Ovis aries: one gene and its partners. The protein of the gene in region 1 interacts with the protein of each later gene in a biochemical or structural test. Links are inferred from orthologs where the notes say so. Each region holds a gene or a part of one and is shown in the gene's direction. Other genes may lie near its edges.

The links. The genes of interacting proteins can lie anywhere in the genome.
Region 2: the proteins of FYN (region 1) and FYB1 form a complex in vitro, tested with the Homo sapiens proteins (2 studies listed by BioGRID and IntAct). The link is inferred for Ovis aries from reciprocal best matches to the Homo sapiens genes FYN and FYB1.
Region 3: of the proteins of FYN (region 1) and ENO1, one has a biochemical effect on the other in vitro, tested with the Homo sapiens proteins (2 studies listed by BioGRID). The link is inferred for Ovis aries from reciprocal best matches to the Homo sapiens genes FYN and ENO1.

The regions. Positions count from the first base shown.
Region 1 is NC_056061.1:26,056,796-26,065,005, forward strand, and holds part of FYN (tyrosine-protein kinase Fyn), read left to right. Parts: intron 1-2,473; coding exon 2,474-2,638; intron 2,639-3,016; coding exon of another isoform or gene 3,017-3,172; intron 3,173-5,871; coding exon 5,872-6,051; intron 6,052-8,188; coding exon 8,189-8,210. UniProt on the Homo sapiens protein: Non-receptor tyrosine-protein kinase that plays a role in many biological processes including regulation of cell growth and survival, cell adhesion, integrin-mediated signaling, cytoskeletal remodeling, cell motility, immune response and axon guidance.
Region 2 is NC_056069.1:35,476,353-35,484,562, forward strand, and holds part of FYB1 (FYN-binding protein 1), read left to right. Parts: intron 1-291; coding exon 292-311; intron 312-752; coding exon 753-787; intron 788-1,763; coding exon 1,764-1,884; intron 1,885-4,715; coding exon 4,716-4,875; intron 4,876-5,374; coding exon 5,375-5,519; intron 5,520-8,210. UniProt on the Homo sapiens protein: Acts as an adapter protein of the FYN and LCP2 signaling cascades in T-cells. May play a role in linking T-cell signaling to remodeling of the actin cytoskeleton. Modulates the expression of IL2. Involved in platelet activation.
Region 3 is NC_056065.1:43,933,040-43,939,990, forward strand, and holds the end of ENO1 (alpha-enolase), read left to right. Parts: coding exon 1-144; intron 145-733; coding exon 734-935; intron 936-1,332; coding exon 1,333-1,441; intron 1,442-1,654; coding exon 1,655-1,713; intron 1,714-2,923; coding exon 2,924-2,993; 3' UTR 2,994-3,341; downstream 3,342-6,951. UniProt on the Homo sapiens protein: Glycolytic enzyme the catalyzes the conversion of 2-phosphoglycerate to phosphoenolpyruvate. In addition to glycolysis, involved in various processes such as growth control, hypoxia tolerance and allergic responses.

The DNA.
Region 1 (8,210 bases):
AAAGGCACTAGGAAAATAGTCTTCCTTGCTAGGCTCTCAAGATGAGGCTTGGCCGAATAGGTTCTCACTATTTTTACCTTCGCAGTTATTGTTAGTTCCATATGTTTGTCAAAATACAGACCATTCTCGTTCCCCAACTAGAAAGCAATAGGTTAAATTCTAAAAGCTGTTTGTTTTTTCGTCTTCGTCTTTAAATCCTTGGAAGTTATCGCTTCCTGCTCCCCTGCAGTATATATAGTTTGGAAGCTGTGAAAGGAAGAAGGTGCTGTCTCTGGGGGAACTCCATCCATGGGGCCTTCTAGAGGGGTGGGGGGTGTTCCTACCATCACTTCCCTCTCAGCAGGAAGGGCTGCGCACGCATACACTAGATGACTTTCGCCATCCATTTCTCATTTCTACTTGCCCACCAATGCTTCCGTTCACTAACTAGACTTAGATGTATATGACCCACAGCTCCTAGAGATGTTACAGCTATTGTATTAAATTAAACTTTTAAGTAGTAGATCAATCTCTGTCCTAACACCCAGACATCACCATCAGTCTGTTGTTCCTAGAAACATATAATTATTAGGTGTTTAGGTGTGTGATTTGTACATTTTATTAAAGAGGGTGATTGTACATGCAGTTGTTAAAATGATTGCTTTCTTTCCTAGATTAGCAAGTCAGCCCCACTATATCAATATATACACACCAGTGGATAGACATATGCATGTCCAGATAGAGGTCTATAACCCAATAGTTTTTATGTGACCCATATGTACATTTTTTGTTATTCTTTAGGATAATGACAAGACTCCAAAATACTACATGGCTTGACTTCCACTATTGCCCTATGCTCATTCATTTAAAAATATGTGTGTATAATTGTTTAGCACCAAAAAAGGCAGTTTCTTGAAAATGGCACTAAGAAATATCTGTCTATTGATCCTGGGCACTAAAAAGCAAATGAAAAAACATTAACAACACTTGCCAAGCTTGTTGATTAGGGGAGGGGGTCACTTTCATTGGTGTGGATTCTAATGAAATACTTAGGAGAAATGAAGCAAAATATCTCCCTGAGATTAAAGGACGTGCTCAAAATACCCGCATGTGGTAAGGATCTCTCAAATGCCTAAATATATTTCATTACAGCCAGACGTCAGCTGGATCCCCAGGGCTTGGATCGTTTGAAAATATTGTGTTGGAAAGGGCACCTTAATAACATCATAAAGCTGGAAGGAGAGAAGGGATGTGAGGAGCAATAGACACTTTTTAATCTCAAAAAAAAAAAAATCCATCTCGAGACAGATTTGTTTTTATATTGGCTTCTCCCCTTGCCTCTTTCTCTCCCTCACACAATCAAATGCCTTTGAAATATTGACACATAAATAATTTCCTGCCTAAATGTCTGAGAACCTGATTCTGTCAAAAAGAAAGGAATAAAAAGGAACTTGCAGCTGGTTCCCGGAGCAAAGGCGGCAGCACTGCATTCTGTGTCCCTGGAGCAGAGGGGCCTCCGTTGGGGCGTGGCCAGCTCAGGCCAGGCTCTCTGCAGCTTTCGTCACTGCCTGAGTCCCTGTCCATTGTCAGCGTTCTCACCTGACCAATGTTTAGCTTGGCATTTAGACAGTTTCCCCTTAGCACTGCTGCAGTCTAAAAGACTTTAAAGAGAGAGAGAAGAAAAGGGGAAAATCCTCCAAATAACCTATAAGTGATAATGACTTTTTTCCTTCCTCTTTTTCATAGGAAATAGAGTTCTCTCACATCCTTGAGTTTCTGCAAATTTTAGTTCCCATTCTTTCTCCTTTCAAGCCAGACTCCTAAATTATACATCGGAGACTGTTATAAAGATTTTTTTTTTAATGGAAGATTTCAAAGAAGCAAGAGTAGCTGACTGGCAGAATAGAGTCAGTTCAAATTGTCAGAGAAATCACTAGAGAAATAGGACCTCTTTTTTCCCTCGCCAGGTGTAATCTCCAGCCTTACTAGTTTATAATAGTCTGACATTCTGTATGAGAACCCTGTACCGAAGCTACAATTTTAAGTATATTCATAGCAAAGAGAGTCCCCACGCCCTTGATATGAGACAGCAGCAAAAGACAGTTGTGCTGACGTTCTGTGGTTCAAATGTACCTTTTGAAATCAGTCGAGGTTATCTGCAGAGTTTCAGAAGACATGTTATTAGCACGCTGGGCTGAAAACATTTTTCTTATTTCGTAAGCGCAGACACCAAAGCAGCCTGAACCTGTATCTGTGTATAGACTATACTAGACCTGGGTGTACGCAGTCATCGAAATCCAAAACGTCTTCTGTTCTGCCTCCAGCGAGCACATTTCAGTGTGTGGTGTCTAATCTTCCAACACGTGTGTAGTTCTCTGCTGACACAGCACTGTTCTGAGTAACACTGTGCGCTGGCTGGGTTTGTGCCCCTGTAAGTGTTGTTTCACGTGTTTGCTTTTCTCTTCCTCTCCCGCCGCTGTCCTCGCTCCATCAGAGAGAGCCGCAGGCCTCTGTTGCCGCCTAGTAGTTCCCTGTCACAAAGGGATGCCACGGCTTACCGATCTGTCTGTCAAAACCAAAGATGTCTGGGAAATCCCTCGAGAATCCCTGCAGTTGATCAAGAGACTGGGAAATGGGCAGTTTGGGGAAGTATGGATGGGTATGCCAAGCCTCAATTACTCTATTACTAGCTTTCTCGTTTGGGGAAGTCCCAAACATCAAAGATGGAAGGTGAAAATAAAGACTTTTTGGCCAGGAAGAGAGTATGAATTACGAATAATTTGGATTTTGATTTCAGAATTCTGGTTAAGATTGGCAGATGGCTCAAATGATACTACTATATGAGCCTCAATTCATACACCAGGAAATGGTACAAGGAATATTCTAGCTTGCACCAAATGCCTTCATTTCCAACTGCAAATGCTGGCAGAATGAACAGTGTCGCCCTAAAGGGCCCGTCACCTCCCATCTTTTCTAGTGCATGCATGATTATGGATTATAAGGACTGTGTTTTCTTTATTAATTCCCTTTCCTGTAGAGAAAGCTGATGGTTTGTGTTTTAACTTAACTGTGATTGCATCGAGTTGTACCCCACAAACTTCTGGATTGTCTAAAGATGCTTGGGAAGTTGCACGTGATTCCCTGAATCTGGAGAAGAAGCTGGGTCAGGGGTGTTTCGCTGAAGTGTGGCTTGGTAAGGCAGAGGGCACATTTCGTTTTGGCTGCATCTCAAAGCCAGCTAAAAGGCGATTTTAAGCAAACACACACACACAGCTGGTGGGACCAAGATGCTTGACCTGGATGGCTAGATGGCTACAGGCCATTCAGGTTATTCCCTTCCATCCTGCTTCATGTGGTTAATTAAGGCACACAGAACAGAAAACCAGTACAGTAAGAATGATGTTTCCTCTTCCTAAGACGTGGGAAGGTAAGATTCTACAGATGGGCTAATGTAGGAAAAGACCATGGGCTTTTTTCCTCAGTAGCCTGGATTTGAATCTTTTCCAGCTGATTAACCATGGGCATGGGGCTTGTTTCATCTCTTTGAACCTCAGTTACCTCATCTGTAAAACTGAAATAATACCTACTTCATAGGATTACCTTGAGGGTGATATGGCATAGTATATCTCCACGGCAAACAGCAGGTACTCAGTAGACACGAGTTCTTGTCTCTTAATTTGGTTCTCTTTGGCCAGGCCAACTTCTCTGGCCTTCCCTACTGCTTTAAAACACCCAGAAACATCTGTCAATAAGGCCATGCTGCTGCTTATGGAATCCCGCTTCTTACTTTCCTAGATGCAATTGAAAGCAACATTACTTAAAAGCAAAAGCATAGGTTGGTACCTATGTGATTTGTGTGGGTGTAGGTACTTAGGTGTGATCTGCATTAAAAGGTTCAATGCAGTTAAAGCACTTAGAATGGGACTTGACAACTAGTAAGTACTACATATAGGGAGAGGGAGAGAGAGACACCCTCCCTCAGATATACACGTGGATGAGTATGTATATGCCATTATAGTAAGTATTATCATTATTAATAGAATCGCTTTCCGAGTCGACTTATCGTGTCTGTCTCTATCTGGACTCTAACTCTCGTGTTGTATTTATATGGCCTTACACTCCCTTATCCACCCAATTTATAATTAGATTTGTGAGTCCTAAGGATTTCAATACAGTCATTCACGAAATCAGGAAAAATTAAACTCTGTACAAAAATTTATTTTCAAACATTATAGTTACCAGTTTTAAATCATCACACATGCTGTTATGTTTTCCCCTGGATGTGAAACATCATGTTGACGTAGTTCAGGATCAGGATGGAAGGTTATCTAGGTAACCAGGTGATATTAGACAGGATGATCTCACTGTTAAAATTTCAGGGATGCTAAAACACTCACACAGACCACTTGCTAGTTGTCAGATTTCCCATTTATGTTTAGTGGTCAGTTTTCTATAAGATTTCAATGAACTCTTTTTTAAGGCACTTATCCTTTGATAATTTACATTTTTATGGGTTGCATGTTGTGAGTATATGAACCATGTTTTTAACAGGGTGACAAGACTTGTTCCAATTTATAGAATCTTTTAGTTCTAGGATTAATTATATTAAGTGTAAAGTTAATTTAAACCAGCCTTCTTTTCCAAATAGAAAATGATATAATCTAACTTAGTAGATTTTTCAGTTTACCTTATAGTTTTAATTCAAAGTCATAGGACTAATAATGGATACACATAGGATTGAGTGGGTTTTTTTAAATTTTGGTGCTAAAAGAGACTGGGAAGATAATCCAGTTCCATTTCTATATTTTACAGATGAGGTAAATGATGAGGATCATAAACCAGGCTCGCCTCTGAAACTCCTAGATTATTTTACACATGTGAAGTTTTAAATATTTCTTTTCCCTCTTAGCTGCTGTTTAATTTTTCCAGTCTAATAGAAATCATTGTTCCTGTGGCTGACCATCAGTAAGCTTGAGGAATTTTCTTTTCGTGATTGAAGTATTGGCAAGTAGACCAAAAGCTTCTTGCCAGTACTTCTCAGCACGTTTAGCTCAGCTTCTCAAGGACTCAGTCAAGTAGCTCATCCCTGGCTGACAACTGAAAGTCTAGAGGTAATTTCCAAACTTCCTTAGTGTGGTGTCATATATTTTTAAATGGCACACCCCAGAAAATAGGACTTAATGTCCTTTCTTCCATGCTCATCCTCCTGTCTAAGGGACGGCTATTGGATGGCCGCTGAAGGCCAGTCCTGTTCTAACCCCTAGACGTTCATCCTTATAAAGAAGTATCCAGAAAGTACCAGTGATCTAATGTACTACATGCTAAGTAAATATAATTAACATCCTGTATATTATCTATGAAGATTGTTTAGGGGATAAATCCCAAGAATTCTCATCACAAGAAAAAAATTTATTTGTATTTAAGTTTGTATCTATCTGAGATGATGGATTTCACTAAACTTAACTGTAATAGTCACTCCATGATGTATGTAAATTAAATCATTATGCTTTACAACTTAAACTGATACAGTGGCATATATCAATCATATCTCAAAAACTACTAGAAGGAAAAAAATGAAGTATCCAGAGCTTTTGATACAAATTTGTGATCACGTGGCTGAACCAGAAAAGGAAAGTGATATATATCAAAATACGAAAAATTTTTAAAGACTTGTAAACCATGACATAGCCTATAAGTAAACACATTTTTTCCTGTTGAAAATACTTGACAGAGTCCTTGCATTTGATTGTCTTTGTTCAACAACAACAACTCTATTTAAAGTTTTCTTTAAACTTAAAATCTAACTTTATACAAATAACTACTCATTAAAAAGGTTTTTTTCCCATCCAAAGAGGATCTTTGGTTTGACTTACTATTATGGGGTGTCTGCAGGTACCTGGAATGGAAACACAAAAGTAGCCATAAAGACTCTTAAACCAGGCACAATGTCCCCTGAATCATTCCTTGAGGAGGCGCAGATCATGAAGAAGTTGAAGCATGACAAACTGGTCCAGCTATACGCCGTGGTGTCCGAAGAGCCCATCTACATCGTCACCGAGTACATGAATAAAGGTTGGACTGGGCCTCTCGGGCTCCCCCTCGCAGGGACCTGCAAGCTTGTCTCCGGGAGGGGAATGGAGCTCCCTGCCTGCTTTTTCCCTCCTTCCTCCATGAGTCAAGCATTCTTTGTCAGGAAGCACAAACTATGTACTCACTGGGGAAAACGTTGTACGAACAGACAGTGACCTTGAGTTTGACACCCAGATTCCTTTGCATGCTTTGCACATGTCAGGATTTCCAGCTCCTCTCCATAACTGAAGTAATTCATTTTTAGTATCGGAGTGATCAGTGCATACATGTGTCGTCGTGTCTGACTCTTTGCAACCCCATGGGCTTTTCCAGGCAAGAATACTGGAGTGGGTTGCCATTGATACAGAGGGCTATAAAAGTTTGCTGTTATCTGGAATGGCACAGCTTATGTTAAAAATTAATTTTTTTTTCAAACAAAGATATGAGGCTATACAGTTTTCAGGTATTCATCTCTCCTGCCTCATTCCCACCACCTTTGTCTGTCTTGAGTCCCCCACTCAAGATACCACAACCTTGACCGTGTTGGAAACCCTCATCAAGGGTGAGGTTTTTTTAATCACATCGGTTCAAAACTTGTTTTGCAGTAAAATTTTGTTTGAAAATGCCTTTTTGTGTACAAAAGCATAAAAGTAAGAAATTGTGTTATGAAAGGTTTTGTGGCATACACAGCTTAACCATCTTAATAATAAATTACTTTCTTACAAATTTTTTTTAAATTAGATATTTTTGCAAGGCTGAACAATTAACATCAGACACTGAGCTCTGGGTTAAGTTTAGCCTCCATCTTTTCAACACCTTTTTTTTTTCTTCGGCTCTCTTCTTAAACATCTGATGTAGAAAGACATACTTTTAAAGAGCACATTATATTCTCATTCTTTTTCTCTCTCTCTTTGTCTTTCTAATCAAAGCAATATTGTTGGGGATAAGACCACAGATCACTTTGTTTTGGAAAAATAGATGAACCAAACAAGAAACAGCCTTAAAAGGCAAAGCATTGTACATCAGATGACACCAGTACAATTTTTCCCTTTCCACGTACTTTCTATTAAAATATATTTGGAATTATTCCCTGGCAGATTGTTTGTCCTTTGTATTTGTTTATTTGGTAAATAACTTTGTGATTAAAGCATGAAAAAAAAATACCAGTGATCACATGAACCTCCAGCCTCTGCCCTTGATTGCTTCGGCCCCAGTGTTCATTCTGAGCTCCTCAGGCGGAGTCATCACACTGGCTCTGAAGCTCCAGCCTTTGGTTTCAGGTATCTTTCAAGGCCTGATTGGCCATGATCTAATGTGAGGAGCCACCTACCCCAACCCTGTATTCCTCAGATACCCTTTTCTTGATTTAAAAATCTGTCAATAAGCTGAGCCACTGATTGTACACTTTGCTATATGTCGGAATCACCTAATACAGGGGTCCCCAACCTTTGAGAGCTAATGTCTGATGATCTGAGGTGGAACTGATGTAATAATAATAGAAATAAAATACACAATAAATGGAATGTGCTTGAATCATCCCTAAAGCATCTGCCACCCCCAAGTCCGTGGAAAAATTGTCTTTAAAGAAGCTTGTCCCTGGTACCAAAAAGACTGGGAACCACTGATCTAATGGGCTTCTCAAAATAAAAGTTTCTGGGCCAAAACTCCCAAGCATCTGATTCTGTAGATGTGGGATGGGTTCTGAGAGTTTGTGTTTCCAACTGATTCCCCAGAGGTTGCCGTTCTTGCTGGTCCGGGACCACATATTGGGAACCACTCATCTGGGAGCTGTTTTCTCCACATCACTCTTGAGCGGGACTGTCGGGAGTGAGACTGAAGTGGTGCAGCCTTTAATCTCATTTAAGGCTGCTTCTTATGAAGTCCTGTTTCTTCTAGCTTCATCCCATTTTTGTTGTCCTTAGAACTGGAGTCACTACTGTTTACTTTTAAAAGGTAAAACTGCAGCCTCCAGTGCACAGGTTTTTTTCTGCCCAGTTTTCATGTGTGAACCTTGTTTTCACTGATAGCCTCATTTCCTCTGATTACCTCATTCCTTCTAATAAGAAAACCAAATACAGCCCTTCATTGGGAATTTTGACCTTTCAAAGGAAATCAAAATGACTTTATGTTTTCTTCACAGGAAGTTTACTCGATTTCTTAAA
Region 2 (8,210 bases), on another chromosome or scaffold:
ATGTGGATGTTTTCAGCGTCCATTTGTAAAGAGACTACTAAAGAGTGTCTTCAGTTTTTTTCACTTTTGCATTATTTTATGAAAGCTAATGAAATGATTTTACAACAAGTTACAAGGTTTGGAAAAGCCATAGTAAGGATCTAAACCACATATTCTATTCTCTACTTCTAAACCTTTGGTAAAGTATAGATTCTGTTAACATGAACTGTTTTGAGTATTATGTTATGTTACATCTAACAATCCTCTATTAAAGCACTTCTTAATTATTATCCCTTTTTTTAAACACTTCAGGTACTGGAAATCTAGATGAGGTTAGTTTCTCTTTTTTTATTCTTCTCATATTATGTTGCTATAACTAGAATATGTAACAATTGCTGTGATTTATTTTCTACTGGCATAAACCAACAAATGAAAACTCTTAAGAATAATGGTAATATTTTTCCATTGCAATCTTATTTCACCCGAAATGCTTGAGACATTAAACCCCAGTCATTTCACTGACTCAGTAATTTTGTTATGATAAACAGAAACTGAAGCCTGGCTACGAATCTGAATTACATAGCAAGATATAAAATGAAATCTTTCTGTGCTTCCTCTCCCAGTCTGTCTCCAAAAAGGAAAAAAAAAAATTAAATATGCAAAATGTACACACAAATTTATGTTTGTTTTACTGAGTATTTGAGCAGTGTAGTATATATTTGTTCCCTTATTGAATAATTGCAGTAAATCACTATTAATGTTTTTCTTGACAGGAACAAGAGAGTGAAGGAGAAACATATGAAGACATGTATGAGCAACATTTCTTTTACCATGATATTTTTCTTCTTAGATGAATATAATAATTTGTATGAGGGAGAATGAATGGATATTCAATACTAGGAGGGGGAAAGTTCAACTGTTCAAGTGACGGGCATATAATGATAACCTTTATTTCAATACAAAGGACTAAAGATTCCTTTCTTGTCTAAGGATTTTACAGAGGACTCTGTTAAAATGCCATTGTGTGAGAGGTCAGAGTCCTGCAACCCACTAGACAGCCCACAGGCAAGGAATTACAGGGCCAGGAATCTGTATTTCTTGCTCTCAGGGTGTCTGGGCAAATGAATTTGTGTATATATTACAATGTCCTCACCTAGGCAGTACTCTGAGAGACAATTTAACACAGCACCGGATGCCAAAGTTTTAACCTGCTTAAGAAGAAAAATGTTAAAAAGAGTTCCCAAATGGGTTTCTGGGCAGGCCAGGATTAAGAAATTTCTTAGCAAATGAGTGAAAATAAAAATGAGCATTTTCTCTCATTTTAACTTTTGTTGATTCAAATATGTTAATCTTCCCCACCCAGAATTCAGCTAATTCTGAGTAAAGTTTCTAAATGAAGATTTGTACCTATGAGTACAAGTGAATATGTATATGTGAACTTGTACCAGTGAGCGTACTCTTGTGAGAGAGATTGGGTGGGATGGGGGGGGGGAGGTGCTTAATTGTATTCATGCTGACAGGCTGCAGGAACCTTTAAAACAATGCCTTCCACTTGCCCTCAGGGGTTGTAAAAGTAGCAGGACCTTTGGAAGGCATCCTCCTTTGAATGCCTCCTGCAGGTTTTAGGAACAGTCTCACACACCCAGGAATTTTGACAGGACTTAGCTTTGTACCTTAACCTCTATTCCACATACTATCTTCTGTTTGGGGTAGGAACCTCTAAATAGTGAGCCCTAACACATAAATGCCTGCAGGTGCTGAAACAACCAAATTTTTATCCACAGAGACACATCCAAAGAAAAAGAGAAGAAAAGAGAAAAGGAGGAAAAGAAGAGATTAGAGCTGGAGAAAAAAGAACAGAAAGAGAGAGAAAAGAAAGAACAAGAAATAAAGAAGAAATTTAAAGTAAGAGCTTGCTTGCTGATGGGTGAAAAACAGTAACCTCTCTTTTTATAACTTTCACACAAAAGGGGCACCATTTTTTGAAACCTTATATGGTTGGACAACTACTTAATCACTGTTTTCTAAAGAGTAACTTCCTTCATAACAGTAATGTTTTTTTTCTGCTACACTCCATTATCCCTGCACTAAAAATGCAATACAATAAAATCCAAATAAAATATGTGGCTTATAATCTGGATAAAATCTAAACAAAATATGGTGGGAGCTCAAGAAATTTTATGTCAGTTGGGTGAATGAATACTCAGTTACTCAAATCCATTCTGACTCTCCTTGTTATGTGTTTCATCGTACCTGGAAAATTTCATGGACAGAGGACCCTGGTGGGCTACAGTCCGAGGGGTCACGAAGAGTCGGACAAGACTGAGCATTTCATACTAACCTACTTCCTTGGTGGCTCAGACGGTAAAGTGTCTGCCTGCAATGCGGGAGACCTGGGTTCGATCCCTGGGTCGGGAAGATCCCATGGAGAAGGAAATGGCGAGCCACTCCAGTACTCTTGCCTGGAAAATTCCATGAACTGAGGAGCCTGATAGGCTACAGTCCATGGGCTCGCAAAAAGTCGGACACGACTGAGCAACTAAGAGATTAAAGAATATGGGCTCAGGACTACACACATACATATCCCTGTGGCACGTATTATCATGGTGCATGGGACAGAACTGTCTGGATTAAGCAGACTCATGTCAATAAAACTCCGTGAGCCACCCTGACTGATGCTGTCTAGACCTGACTCACATCTATGCCTTTACTTTATGCCTATGTACATGCTGATTTCTCATACCTTCTGTTTCTCCTTCTTCCTCATTGACCTCTGTATTCTCTGATCTTTCATTCTAGCTGGATGACTCCTATCACCAGTTATCACCTCCTATCACTACTACCACCACCACCACTATACTTGCAGGCTATACTCTCTTGGCTAGGCTTTGACGACACGGCCCATCTGGTATGGGTCTGGTATGTCAGCTATATTTAGAGTGATTAGCTAGTCACAAAACTATTCTTCACTTTGAAAAGGATTCATATCAAGATTCCTTTAAATATTTAGTTCCTCCAGAGCATTAATATATGGTTTGAGTTATAAAAGCCTGGCTTATATATAATTTCCCAGTATATTGACTATAGTGAAACAAAGAAGCAACAGCAGGCACAGGGAAAATGTAAAACTTAGAGTCAGTTGGACAGATGTGGATTCAAATTCCAGCTGCATTTGTGAGTTATATAATAGTGGACATATTGCTAAACTTCTCTGAACCTCAGATTCTTATTTTTAAAGTGAGTAGACAATATTTCTCCTGAAAGTTTGTTATGGGATTAAATAAAATGATATGTGGTATCTATTATAGGCTCTCATTCAATTTTGCTTACTATATATAAGCAAAAGTAAGATTGCAATATGACTATTAAAATATTTTACTCATGCAGAATGTATGGCTACCAATGTTCATAGTTTTCAAGTAGAAAACATGGAAAATTAATTTCTTAAATGAAAATCTTTATAACATACTTTTTATGAAGAGGTTGTTTATAGTTTTGAAGGAATTAGTAAAGCTTTTCTTTTTGGGTGTAGGTTTTTTTTTTTTTTTTGGAGAAGCCAATTTTGGATGGTTTCACTCATTTATTCAAATAATATTTGTTAGTAAGAAAAAGATAAGATATGAAATCACACCACCAAACATGAACTCAAACATTTATCAAGACTAGGACTTCACACGCTATATTCCTTTCACAAAATTGTTAATAGATGTTCAAATTAAATAAATAAATGTGAGAACTGTTATACAGTTCCACATTTCATTAATTCTATGACAAAATATTTCACATTTTAAAATTCCAAAATTAGGATGCATTGTAACATTATTGGCACATCAAAGTTTAAATCAAGCTAGTTTACTTTCTTGGTAGTATATAATTAATGATGGTATCTCACAATTCATCATATCACAAGTTCAATAAATAAAGTAGAGCTTCTTCAAAAATCATGATGTATATTTGCATATCAAAAGACTCAAGAAATTCTGTTGAAAAGACAAAAGATTAGGAAATTAGGACTTTAGGATTCGTGGGCTCTAAACTAGATTACTCCTCTGCTGTCAAGAAACCACTGTACTCTTCAGGATATTAATTATTAAAACATCATATAATATTGGTTTGCTATTTATTTTTATTCACAAAGCTATTTCTAAACTGTTATCTTGTTTATAACAGGTAATGTCTACTCCAAGTTTATAGATAGCAAGTACCTTGAAGTCGAAAAAAAGGAAAGAAAATGTTTTTCTCACAAGTACAGCCTACCACCACTACTAACCCTCTCTCTCTTGCTATTTTAAGCCTGCAGAGAACCATCAGAATAATTGCACAAAGCAGAGAGGGAAATAACCTCTGTCTAGTAAGCAGAACACCAGCATACCCCATAAAAACACATAGCACCCAGCATGTCACATATATAAGTGGTGTTTGATTTTTAGTCACTTCCTCTTCAAATCTTCTACAGAGTTCCCAACGTTAACAGATCACTGCCATTCTCTCCTGGCCCCTGAACACGTGCTTACCTATTTTTGCTGGCTCTGTCTGACCTCTGCAATTTTCCCCTAGCCCCTCCTATAAGAACCCTCACCAGAAATAACATTCACCCTCAACTTCTGGTTCAAACCTATAAATGTTGGTAATAAGCAGGTTAGCAAGTAGTGGACCTAGTCTTTCAAAACTGCATTCCTTAAGGATTTCCTGAAAGTAAGAAGCTGGTTGTGATTTTTTTTTCCCCCTCTTTGCAGCTAACAGGCCCTATTCAAGTCATCCATCAAGCAAAAGCTTGCTGTGATGTCAAAGGAGGAAAGAATGAACTGAGCTTCAAGCAAGGAGAGAATATTGAAATAATTCGCATCACAGACAACCCTGAAGGAAAATGGCTGGGCAGAACAGCCAGGGGGTCATGTAAGTGCATATTTTTCTAAGACTTCAAAGTGTTTTCTTTTGAGCCAATCTTAATGTGAAAATTCTTCCAAAGCTAGTCATAAGCATTAAGTTGGAAGTATGTTACAGAGTAGACAAAAATAGGAAGATTTTAAATGACAAGCATAGCTCCATCTTCACCTCATTTGTGTAATATTTTTAGTTGGGAAAAAATGCAAATATAATATCCCAAGGAGGAGTAAAGAGTATTAGATTCTTCATGGATGTTAAAAAGCAAAAATATTTCTTCTGAATCACTTTAGAACCTTGAAAACAGACTCCAGACTTACCCCAAAAGCACAACATCATGAGACTTTGACAAAGCACAGTGAAGCATGTGTCAACAAGTCTTTAAGTCAGAATTGCAAGCAAAGAAATAAAGGGAAAATGTAAAAAGAAAGTGTATCATTGATATTTTATTTACAACTCTATGATATTTAAACTACAGTTATCTGAACATAAATTGTTCCCCTTTTGGTAGATGGCTATATTAAAACAACAGCTGTAGAGATTGACTATGACTCCTTGAAACGGAAAAAAGGCTGTCTCAGCACTCTTCCATCAAGACCTTTTGAAGATGACCAGGAAGTGTATGATGACGTTGCAGAGCAAGAAAATGTTGGCAGGTATACGTAAAAATAAATCGGAAAGCAAATCAAACTATCTGTTTGTCAGAGATTGTGAGTTTTAAGATGCTAGAATTTTACTTTCCTAATTTCCTACTACTTTCTATCACTAAATTAAATTACCGTTTACAATCACTTCAATATGGATGATAACTCCTTTGAAACTCTATAGTCTTTCAGTTTACTCTTTGGCTATTTGTGTTAAATACTGCTTGAAATGTAATGGGCCATTGGCAGATATGGTGTCCATCCAAAATACTGTTTTGCAATATTCATTCTGATTTGACTTTAAGGATATGCCTAGAATACATATGACTTTGTAAATTATGAAGCATGAGATATAAAAGTTAGCTCTAAAAATATAAAATACTTTTCTCTGAAATCTGAGTCTAAATGTATTTGTCATTGTTATTTGAAAATATAACAAACAGAAATGCTTTTTTATGACAACTTTGCTCTTTAAGAGTAAAGATCAATCCGCTATGATCCCCAGCAATCAACTAAGGGTTCAACTTTCCATTGGACCTTGTGACCTTCCCTGGAAAAACTACAGGACCATCTTTCTGGAGCAGAGGGACAGATCAAGACATCCTTTCTAGAGGAATCAAAGGGGAGGGCAAACTTCTCTCTCGTACTTTCCTTCTCTTCCTTCTCATCTCCAGCTCCCTTTATAGCGCTTCCTCTTCTGTCCCTTTCTCCTAGCTCTGATCTTCCTTGTTCTTTCTTTTTCTTCCTTTTCTGTTCTCCTTTCATTCCTTCTTTCCTCCAATATCTCCCTTTCCTGGTAGAGCCATAATCTCTTTAAACTGAAGGAAAAGGAGAAGGAAAATCTCCAACCCAGTGAAGAATCCTCATTTTTCTATGCCCACTTTGTGAAACAGGGAAACCTCCCCACATGATCCATGCAAGATCTTCATGTGAGAAAAAAATGTGTCTGCATTCTTTATAACTCAAATTTCAAATTAAAAAATGTTTTTATTATTAAGCATTCTAAAAATGTAAAAAGATCAAAATAGAAGTATATTAATATTTATTAATACTAATAGTTATGAAACATATAAAGAATTAAATTTCCCTTTTATGGTTTTGAGCTTATGGCATCAGTTAAACCTATATTGCTTTCTGGCAGTTCATCATTCTAAAATGACTGATAGCAATGCTGTCTTAACATATTGTGATCATAAATTATGCAATACATATCAAAACATCCCATGTATGCACTGGAGTTTACAGATTGTAAATTGACCTTAGCGATAAGAAACACCTTGACCTACCTTGAAGTTAGCAAATGTCAAATTTGATATCAGAGTTCCAAATGGCCATATTCTGAGAGTTACAGAATTTTCTGGGCATGAGTGTGTCTTACCATGTATATTATCAGTATATATACCTTATGTTGGGCTTCCCCGGTGGCTCAGATGGCAGTCTGCCTGAGATCCCCTGGAGAAGGAAACGGCAACCCACTCCAGTATTCTTGCCTGGAAAATCCCATGGATGGAGGAGCCCAGCATGCTATATTCCATGGGGTTGCAAAGAGTTGGACACAACTGAACTACTTCACTATACCTTATGTTTGTCTTTTATCTTAAAAAAAAAACACACACACACACACAATTTCTCTTATTTTGGAATTAAAGAACTCCACTTCACTTTCACTTTTCACTTACATGCATTGGAGAAGGAAATGACAACGCACTCCAGTGTTCTTGCCTGGAGAATCCAAGGGATGGGGGAGCCTGGTGGGCTGCCATCTGTGGGGTCGCACAGAGTCAGACACGACTGAAGCAACTTAGCAGCAGCAGCAGCAGTGAGATATATATATATATATATTTTTTTTACACTGATGAAAATAAAAAATAAATAAATCCACAAAAAAGGGATGATATCCTTAAAATGAAGCATTATTTTCATAATAAGTGACTTTCCCAAATTAATGCCATTACCTTTTTCATTTTAACTAATCTGTACATACCACAGGGCTTCCCAGATGGTACAGCAGTAAAGAATCCACCTGCCAATGCAGGAGATCCAGGTTTGATCCCTGGGTCTGAAAAATCCCCTGGAGAAGGAAATGGCAACCCACTCCAGTATTCTTGCCTGGGGCATCCCATGGACAGAAGAGCCTGGCATGTTACATTCAGTCCAGGGGCTTCAAAGAGTAGGACACAGCTTAGTGACTAAACCACCACCACCATACATTCCACAACTCTACGAGACATCTCCAGTTAGTAAACATGTAGCAGAAAAGGGATCTTCTGTTTAATAAAATGGGGTTAGAGGAAGTGTATAGCTTCACTGATTAATATTTTAAACAAGTACATCACCACAGTATTTACTAACATCTATTACATTGGAAGGACTGATGCTAAAGCTGAAACTCCAGTACTTTGGCCAGCTCATGCGAAGAGTTGATTCATTGGAAAAGACTCTGACACTGGAAGGGATTGGGGGCAGGAGGAGAAGGGGACGACAGAGGATGAGACGGCTGGATGGCATCACCGACTTGATGGACATGAGTTTGAGTGAACTCCGGGAGATGGTGATGGACAGGGAGGCCTGGCGTGCTGCGATTCATGGGGTCGCAAAGAGTCGGACACGACTGAGCGACTGAACTGAACTGAACTGATTCCTTCTTTATGCATATTTAATAAGAAAATGGAAGAAGAGACATCACTTCTACACAAGTTGTTT
Region 3 (6,951 bases), on another chromosome or scaffold:
TCATTGGCATGGACGTAGCTGCCTCTGAGTTCTACAGGTCGGGCAAGTATGACCTGGACTTCAAGTCGCCCGATGACCCCAACAGGTACATCACACCTGACGAGCTGGCCGACCTGTACAAGTCCTTCATCAGGGACTACCCAGGTGAGTGTTCCCAGGGTGGCTGCGGGTGTGAGCGGCGGGTAGCGCCCCTGCGTGGTGTGCATGCCTGTGTCACTCCCACAACAGCCTCCTGAATGAGCAGATGTGAGGCCAAGACTGCTGGGCACTCCTGCACGTGGGAGAGGGGACCCTGAGGCAGCGAGTGGGTTAGAACTTCTCAGGGGCGCTCAGCCAACAGCGGCACAGGTGTTCACACCAGGCAGTTCCTCTGAGTGCCTGTGTTTAACACTGAGCACCTTGGTGGAAATGGGACTGGAACGCACACCCCAGTATCGCCCCTCTGGGTCCACAGCCCTGTTCTTACTCAGTGGCACTAAACTGAGAACCCGCTGGGCAGTGGGTTTTCTGCCTCCACGACCATGGGGTTGCAGGATTGCAGTTACCGTGCTGCCTGTCACAGGAGGGCTGGGTAGGGCAGACTCCTTCCAGAACTTGCTTTAGGGACGGGCTGTCTGCAGGTGAGAAGGGTGAGGCCAGGTGAGCCTCAGTTCGGGGGAAGGGGGGCTCCAGCGGTGTTGCCAGTCAGCAGCCTGGGAGGCCACCCTGATGAAACACACTCTCCTCTCCTCAGTGGTGTCTATCGAGGACCCCTTCGACCAGGATGACTGGGAAGCTTGGCAGAAGTTCACTGCCAGCGCGGGGATCCAGGTGGTGGGGGACGACCTCACGGTGACCAACCCCAAGCGGATCGCCAAGGCCGTGAGCGAGAAATCCTGCAACTGCCTCCTGCTCAAAGTGAACCAGATCGGCTCCGTGACCGAGTCCCTGCAGGCGTGAGTGCCCTCCCTCCGGGGGCAGCTCTTGTGAAGAGAGGGGCCTGAATCTGATGGTGGGGAGGGGGCTCCTGATTGGAACTCCAGGTGGCGTTTAAAGTTAGCGATGGCCCCCAGGGGACAAGGACACTCGGCAGTTGTGGCCTGGTCCTGACCGCTGGATGGCCGTGCGCTCACAATTTCATCTCACACGGAGAAAGTCAGGGCGCACACACACACCTCTCTCTCGAGGGGGGGCTAAGCCCACTAGGTTTCCAAACGTGACTACAGGGCAGAGAACATCCTTGGGCCTTTGGGGGAGGTGGAAGGTTATCCTGGCCCCAGCAGTTGAGGGCTTGGGAGGGGCTGCGGTCCCTGAGCCGCGGAGCCGTGCCAGCCTGGTTTCTCTGGCTCCTAGGTGCAAGCTGGCCCAGTCCAACGGGTGGGGCGTCATGGTGTCACATCGCTCCGGGGAGACTGAGGACACCTTCATTGCTGACCTGGTCGTGGGGCTGTGCACGGGGCAGGTAAGGAGCTCCCTGACACGAAGGACAGGCCTTGCTTCTCTCCGGAACACAGATCTGGGGTGGGGTGGAGAGAATGGAGTCCCCCCTTTCTAGGTCAGAGAGCCTCCTTAAGGCCTTGCTATCTCTCTGCCTGGCACCCTCCCCTTGCCCAAAGTGTCCGAGAGGCTTCATTGTCCACTGTAAGCAGCTGTGGCCTTTGTTTTCTCCTTCCAGATCAAGACTGGTGCCCCGTGCCGATCTGAGCGCTTGGCCAAGTACAACCAGATCCTCAGGTAAGAGGCTGCCCGCGCTGAGTATGGGCTTGGTCCCCAGAAGGAGCCCCAGGCTGTGCTCGGCGGTACGAGGTGGGGCAGGCGCCCTGGCCCCAGCGGTGTTAGGTTGGGGCCAGTCAGGCACCCGACAGCCCTGCCCTGGAGCGGGCCTGCTCCGCACCACACTGCCGGGTGGCTCCTGGCGGGAGAGGGAACCACTCCCCTCTGGACAGTCACATCCTAGAATTTGAGGGGGCTACAAGGAGGCCTTAGTGATTCTCTCACTTCACAGCCTTGTTTTGTGAACAGGATAACAGAGCTCAGAGAGAGAAAGAAAAATTGCCAAAGGGCGAACAGCGGGGTTTCCAGTGTTCAGCTCCTTCGGACACTCTCGTCTCTCCCCTTCTTGTCCTTGGGAAGCTTTGCCTCTAAACACAGGGAGACCTGCCCTTCTGTTCTTTTCTTTCATTCTTGAAGGGAAAAGGAACATCTGTTTCATAAGGCCTCCCACATTACCCCATCTTTAAAACTTTATCCTGGAAAATGCCAAACATATAAAATATAAGTGAAGAGTAGACTGTACTCCCTCCCCATCACAGGCATGCACCCGCTGTCCGTATTCCTCCGTGTTTTGTCGACATACCCTTTTCTGACGAATCTTAAAGCAACCCCAGGCGTTTTATGGTTTCACTTGGCACATTTCAGGTAAAGTCTCCCTTTGGTTTAGCGTGGCCGCTCTACTCTGGCGGTTCCCACGGTTAGTGCTGACCTCTCAGTGTCAACATCAGGTCTGTCTGCTAGTCTGTCTCCTCTCTCGTCGCAAAGTGGCTGTTGCTTTTGACATCAGGATCCAAACAAAGTTCACACTGATGAGTGCCCCTGCCTTTTTGCCCTGTACCACTTATTAGTTCAAGAAACTGGGTTATCCTTTCTTTAAAAAAAATTTTTTTTTCTCTTTTTTAAGTATTCTAAGAAGTCACAGTCCTACCATTTCTTTATATTAGGAAGGCAGGGCAGGAAGAACAGGTGCATGAGGCGAGCCCAGATGTTCTATTCCTGGCATCTCCAAGAAGCTCAAGTTTAGGGATTAGTCGGGCAGACTGAGCGAGGGTTGAGTCCCCAAGTTCCTAGCAAGAAGTGTGTCCTTGACCACCTCTCTGGGTGGGAAGATTTGCTGCATTGACGTTTGATGTCTTTCTTTGTCTCCCTATCTCTCTTTCTGTTTCCTAAGAATTGAAGAGGAACTGGGCAGCAAGGCCAAGTTTGCCGGCAGGAGCTTCAGAAACCCGCTGGCCAAGTAAGCTGTAGGCGGGCGAGCCCCTGCAGTCACTCGTTGGCTCCTTAGACCTGCGTCTGATGTCGCCGGGCAGTGTGAGGCCCCCACTGATGCCCACAGGGGCCTCTGGTAGTTAGCTGCTCTCTCCTCGTCCTGTGACGTCCCCACTGCTTCCTTAGACCTACTGCAGAGCCACGCCTGACCATCTGGAGCCCTGCTGGAAACCCTAGCTCTGTAATCACATACTTGGCCCAAATCATTGTTCTTCTCACCTCGCTTCCACCAAGTATCCAGAGCCACGTGTATCTAGGTTGTCATCTCTGAGGTGTCCAGTGGGTTCGTGTGCAAAATAAAAACACCTGAGTGACCCGTATATATATGCCCTGTGTATATGAAGTAGTGTCTGAGTCTGTTCTCACATCTTGGGTATTCAGGAAGCACCTCTACAAGAACCAGAGGCTTTGTGTCTGATAGAAGGAACAGGAGTTTGTGGAGGACATTGTATAAGACTTTGGGGAGAGCATGTTGGGGAAAAGGTGAGAGAGGGGTCAACCCATGCCCTACAGCAGAAGCTGGGTCGGTGCCAGGAGGCAGGGCCCCACTTCAGGACCAAACTTGTTCGGGAGAGAAAAATGCAGAGCTCTCACAGGGTACCTCAAGGGCAGCTAAATAAGTTAAGATTTGATTCATTCCTTATTTTCATCTGCCTGATCTCAAGTGTTCAGAGGCTTCATGTTGCTGATACCCACTGCCTTGAGTACTGTCTGGAGTAATGGATGAGCACCAGTAAGAGGTGAAAATACTGTGGCTTCTCTGTCCTCTGCCCCTTGATTTCTGGTGTTCTACTAATGTTTTATTTACTTCCCCTGACTTGATACAAATCCCTTGAATTGTGTTTTAAAACCCGCTGAGAGCCTCTTGCGTTGCAAGGAGAGCCAACCAGTCCATCCTAAAGGAAATCAGTCCTGAATATTCATTGGAAGGACTGATCCTGAAGCTGAAACTCCAATACTTTGGCCACCTGATACAAAGAACTGACTCATTGAAGACCCTGATGCTGGGGAAAATTGAAGGCTGGAGGAGAAGGGGATCATCGGAGTAAACTGGGAGTTGGTGATGGACAGGGAGGCCTGGCATGCTGCAGTCCATGGGGTGGCAGAGTTGAACGACCAAGTGACTGAACTGAACCCAGAGAGGCCCCCTTGTGGACATTCTTGTTCATTGCCCATCTCTCTAACCCAAGAAGCAGGACTAGAAGACAGTGTTAGTCACTCAGTCGTGTCTGACTCTGTGACCCCTGGACTGTAGCCTCAATATTGAGATTGATTGCAAGGAATTGGCTCCTATGATTGAGGGGCATACTGAGAGAGTCCATAGTCTGGCCAATCAGAAGGGAGTGTGATCGGGAAAACACGTGTTCAGGTGAAACTCCTCTCTAGTGTAATCCCTGCTTTAAGAACTTTCACCTGATTCAGGCCCACCCAGATCATCCAAGAAAATTCCTTGTTCAGCGTCAACAGTGGTTTGAATTACATCTGCAGAATAGCTTCACAGTAATACCTAGATTAATATTTGAATAGCAGGACTCCTATCTTATGTGAACTTGGCAACCACACACAAATGTCTGAAGCCATCCTTCATCTCCAGATAACAAGACCCTACTTCACCTAATGTGGTTCAGCCCTCCTGTGTACAGCCAAAACTGCTAACCTATCCCAGCTTTGTATGACTGGTTCCCATCTGAAAACTGATTCTACAAGGAAGTGATTGAACTGGGCCTGACAGTCTGACTGGACTTTGTTCATCCAAACAGATTGCTAAATTTGGTTGCATGTCAACATTTCCTATGCTTAGTCGCTCAGTTGTGCCTGACTCTGTCTTTAAGTTGAAGCCTGCCAGGCTCCTCTGTCCATGGAATTTCCCAGGCAAGAATACAGAAGTGGGTTGCCATTTCCTCCTCCAGGGGCTCTTCCTGACCCACCAATCGAACCTGAATCGCCTGTGTCTCCTGCATTTCAGGAGCCATCAGGAAAGCCCGCTATTTCCTGATCAGCAATTAAAGGTATTTGTCACTCAGGTTAAAGAATAGATAGGAGCCCTTTCAGATCTGTTCCACCCAGAAGGAAGGCTGCTGGGGTCTCACTGGCCCTGGGAATGCTGAGCCCCTGGGGACGGTTGACAGCTTTTCACCCAGCAGAAACAGCACGTTGCTGACACTGAAGCAATAGAAACCATTAGCCTTTTCCTGGGCATTCTGACTGAAGCAGGACGAGCAGCGCTGATTGAAAGTTTCCAAGTGTTTTTGAAGTAAACATCTCTGGTAGCTCTTGTTAGTAGTCTCTGGACTTGTGTTATGTGTTTTCTTTTTTAAAGTTAACCTCATAATACAAACATTGGTTTTTCACCTGTGATTGTCTTCCAGCTTCGGATTCCTGTGACAAAACTCAACTGAAAATTTGAAGCAGTGTAGTTTGCAAACTTTAGTTGGCCATACCTTAGAGTCTCCCTGGGTTTTCCTGGTAGCTCAGCTGGTAAAGAATCTGCCTGCAATGCAGGAGACCCCAGTTCAATTCCCTGGTGTCTTCCTGGTGGCTTCCATGGTGCACTCAACTGAGTGTAATGTGAGAGACCCAGGTTCGATCCCTGGGTTGGGAAGATCCCCTGGAGAAGGGAAAGGCTACGCACTCCAGTACTCTGGCCTGGAGAATTCCATGGACTATAACCCTAACCCTAACCTCTTCCAACAACATAAGAGAAGACTCTACACATGGACATCACCAGATGGTCAATACGGAAATCAGGTTGATTATATTCTTTGCAGCCAAAGATAGAGAAGCTCTATACAGTCAGCAAAAAAAGACCAGGAGCTGACTGTGGCTCAGATCATGAACTCAACAGACATGAGTTTGAGTAGACTCCGGGAGTTGGTAATGGACAGGGAGGCCTGGCGTGCTGCAGTCCATGGGGTCACAAAAAGTCGGACACAACTGAATGACTGAACTGAACTGAATTGATGCAGCAAAAAGTCAGACACGACTGAGCAACTTTTCACTCACTAGAGTCTCCTCATAAGTTTTTAAAGTTTTGGCCATACCCTGCATCATGTGGGAATCTTAGTTTGCAGACCAAGGATCGAGCCCGCACCCCCTGCACCGGAAGGCAGAATCTTAACCACTGGGAGGGAAATACCCCCTCTGCCTCCCAGGCCAAGTAAATCAGAACCTCAGAGTGGAAACCAGAGGCTCAGTGTTAAAAAAATTTTCCCAGCTGACTCCAGTATGCAGCTCTGAGCCTGGTAATACTCTGTGCCTCTGGCCCTGGTAATTTTATTTTAATGAATTCAGCTGAGAATGGAAGATGGCAGCTGAAGGCAGTCAACACAAGTCACAGAACTGCAAGCGGAGCCATTTGCAGGAAGGAAGCCTGGACAGGAGCCTTCTTCTTGACTTAAGAACTCCATGTCGAGTCAGCTCTCTACATGGTTTGGCACCAGGGACTGGTTTCATGGAAGACAGTTTTTCCATGGACTGGCACTGGGACTGGGGGATGATGGTTCAGGCGATAATACGAGCGATGGGGAACAGCAGATGAAACTTCACCAGCTCAACTCTTGCTGTGAAGCCTGGTTCCTAACAGGTTCATGGACCAGTATTGATCTGTCTTGAGGGTTGGAGACCCCTGCCATAAATGGTCACATGGTGCGGGGGGATGAATCGGGAGATTGGGATGGCCATATCCACTACTGATACTGTACATAAAAGAGATAATTAGAAACAACGGTGTAGCTCAGGGAACTCTTAGCGCTCTGTGGTGACCTAAATGGGAAGGAAATCCAAGAAAGAGGGAACATATGTATACATATAGCTGATTCCTTTTGCTGTACTGTAGAAACGAGCGCAAGTTTATAAAGCAGCTTTCTTGATGGCTCAGCTGGTTAAGCACCCACCTACCAGGGGCGGAGACCTGAGAGACTCATGTTCCAT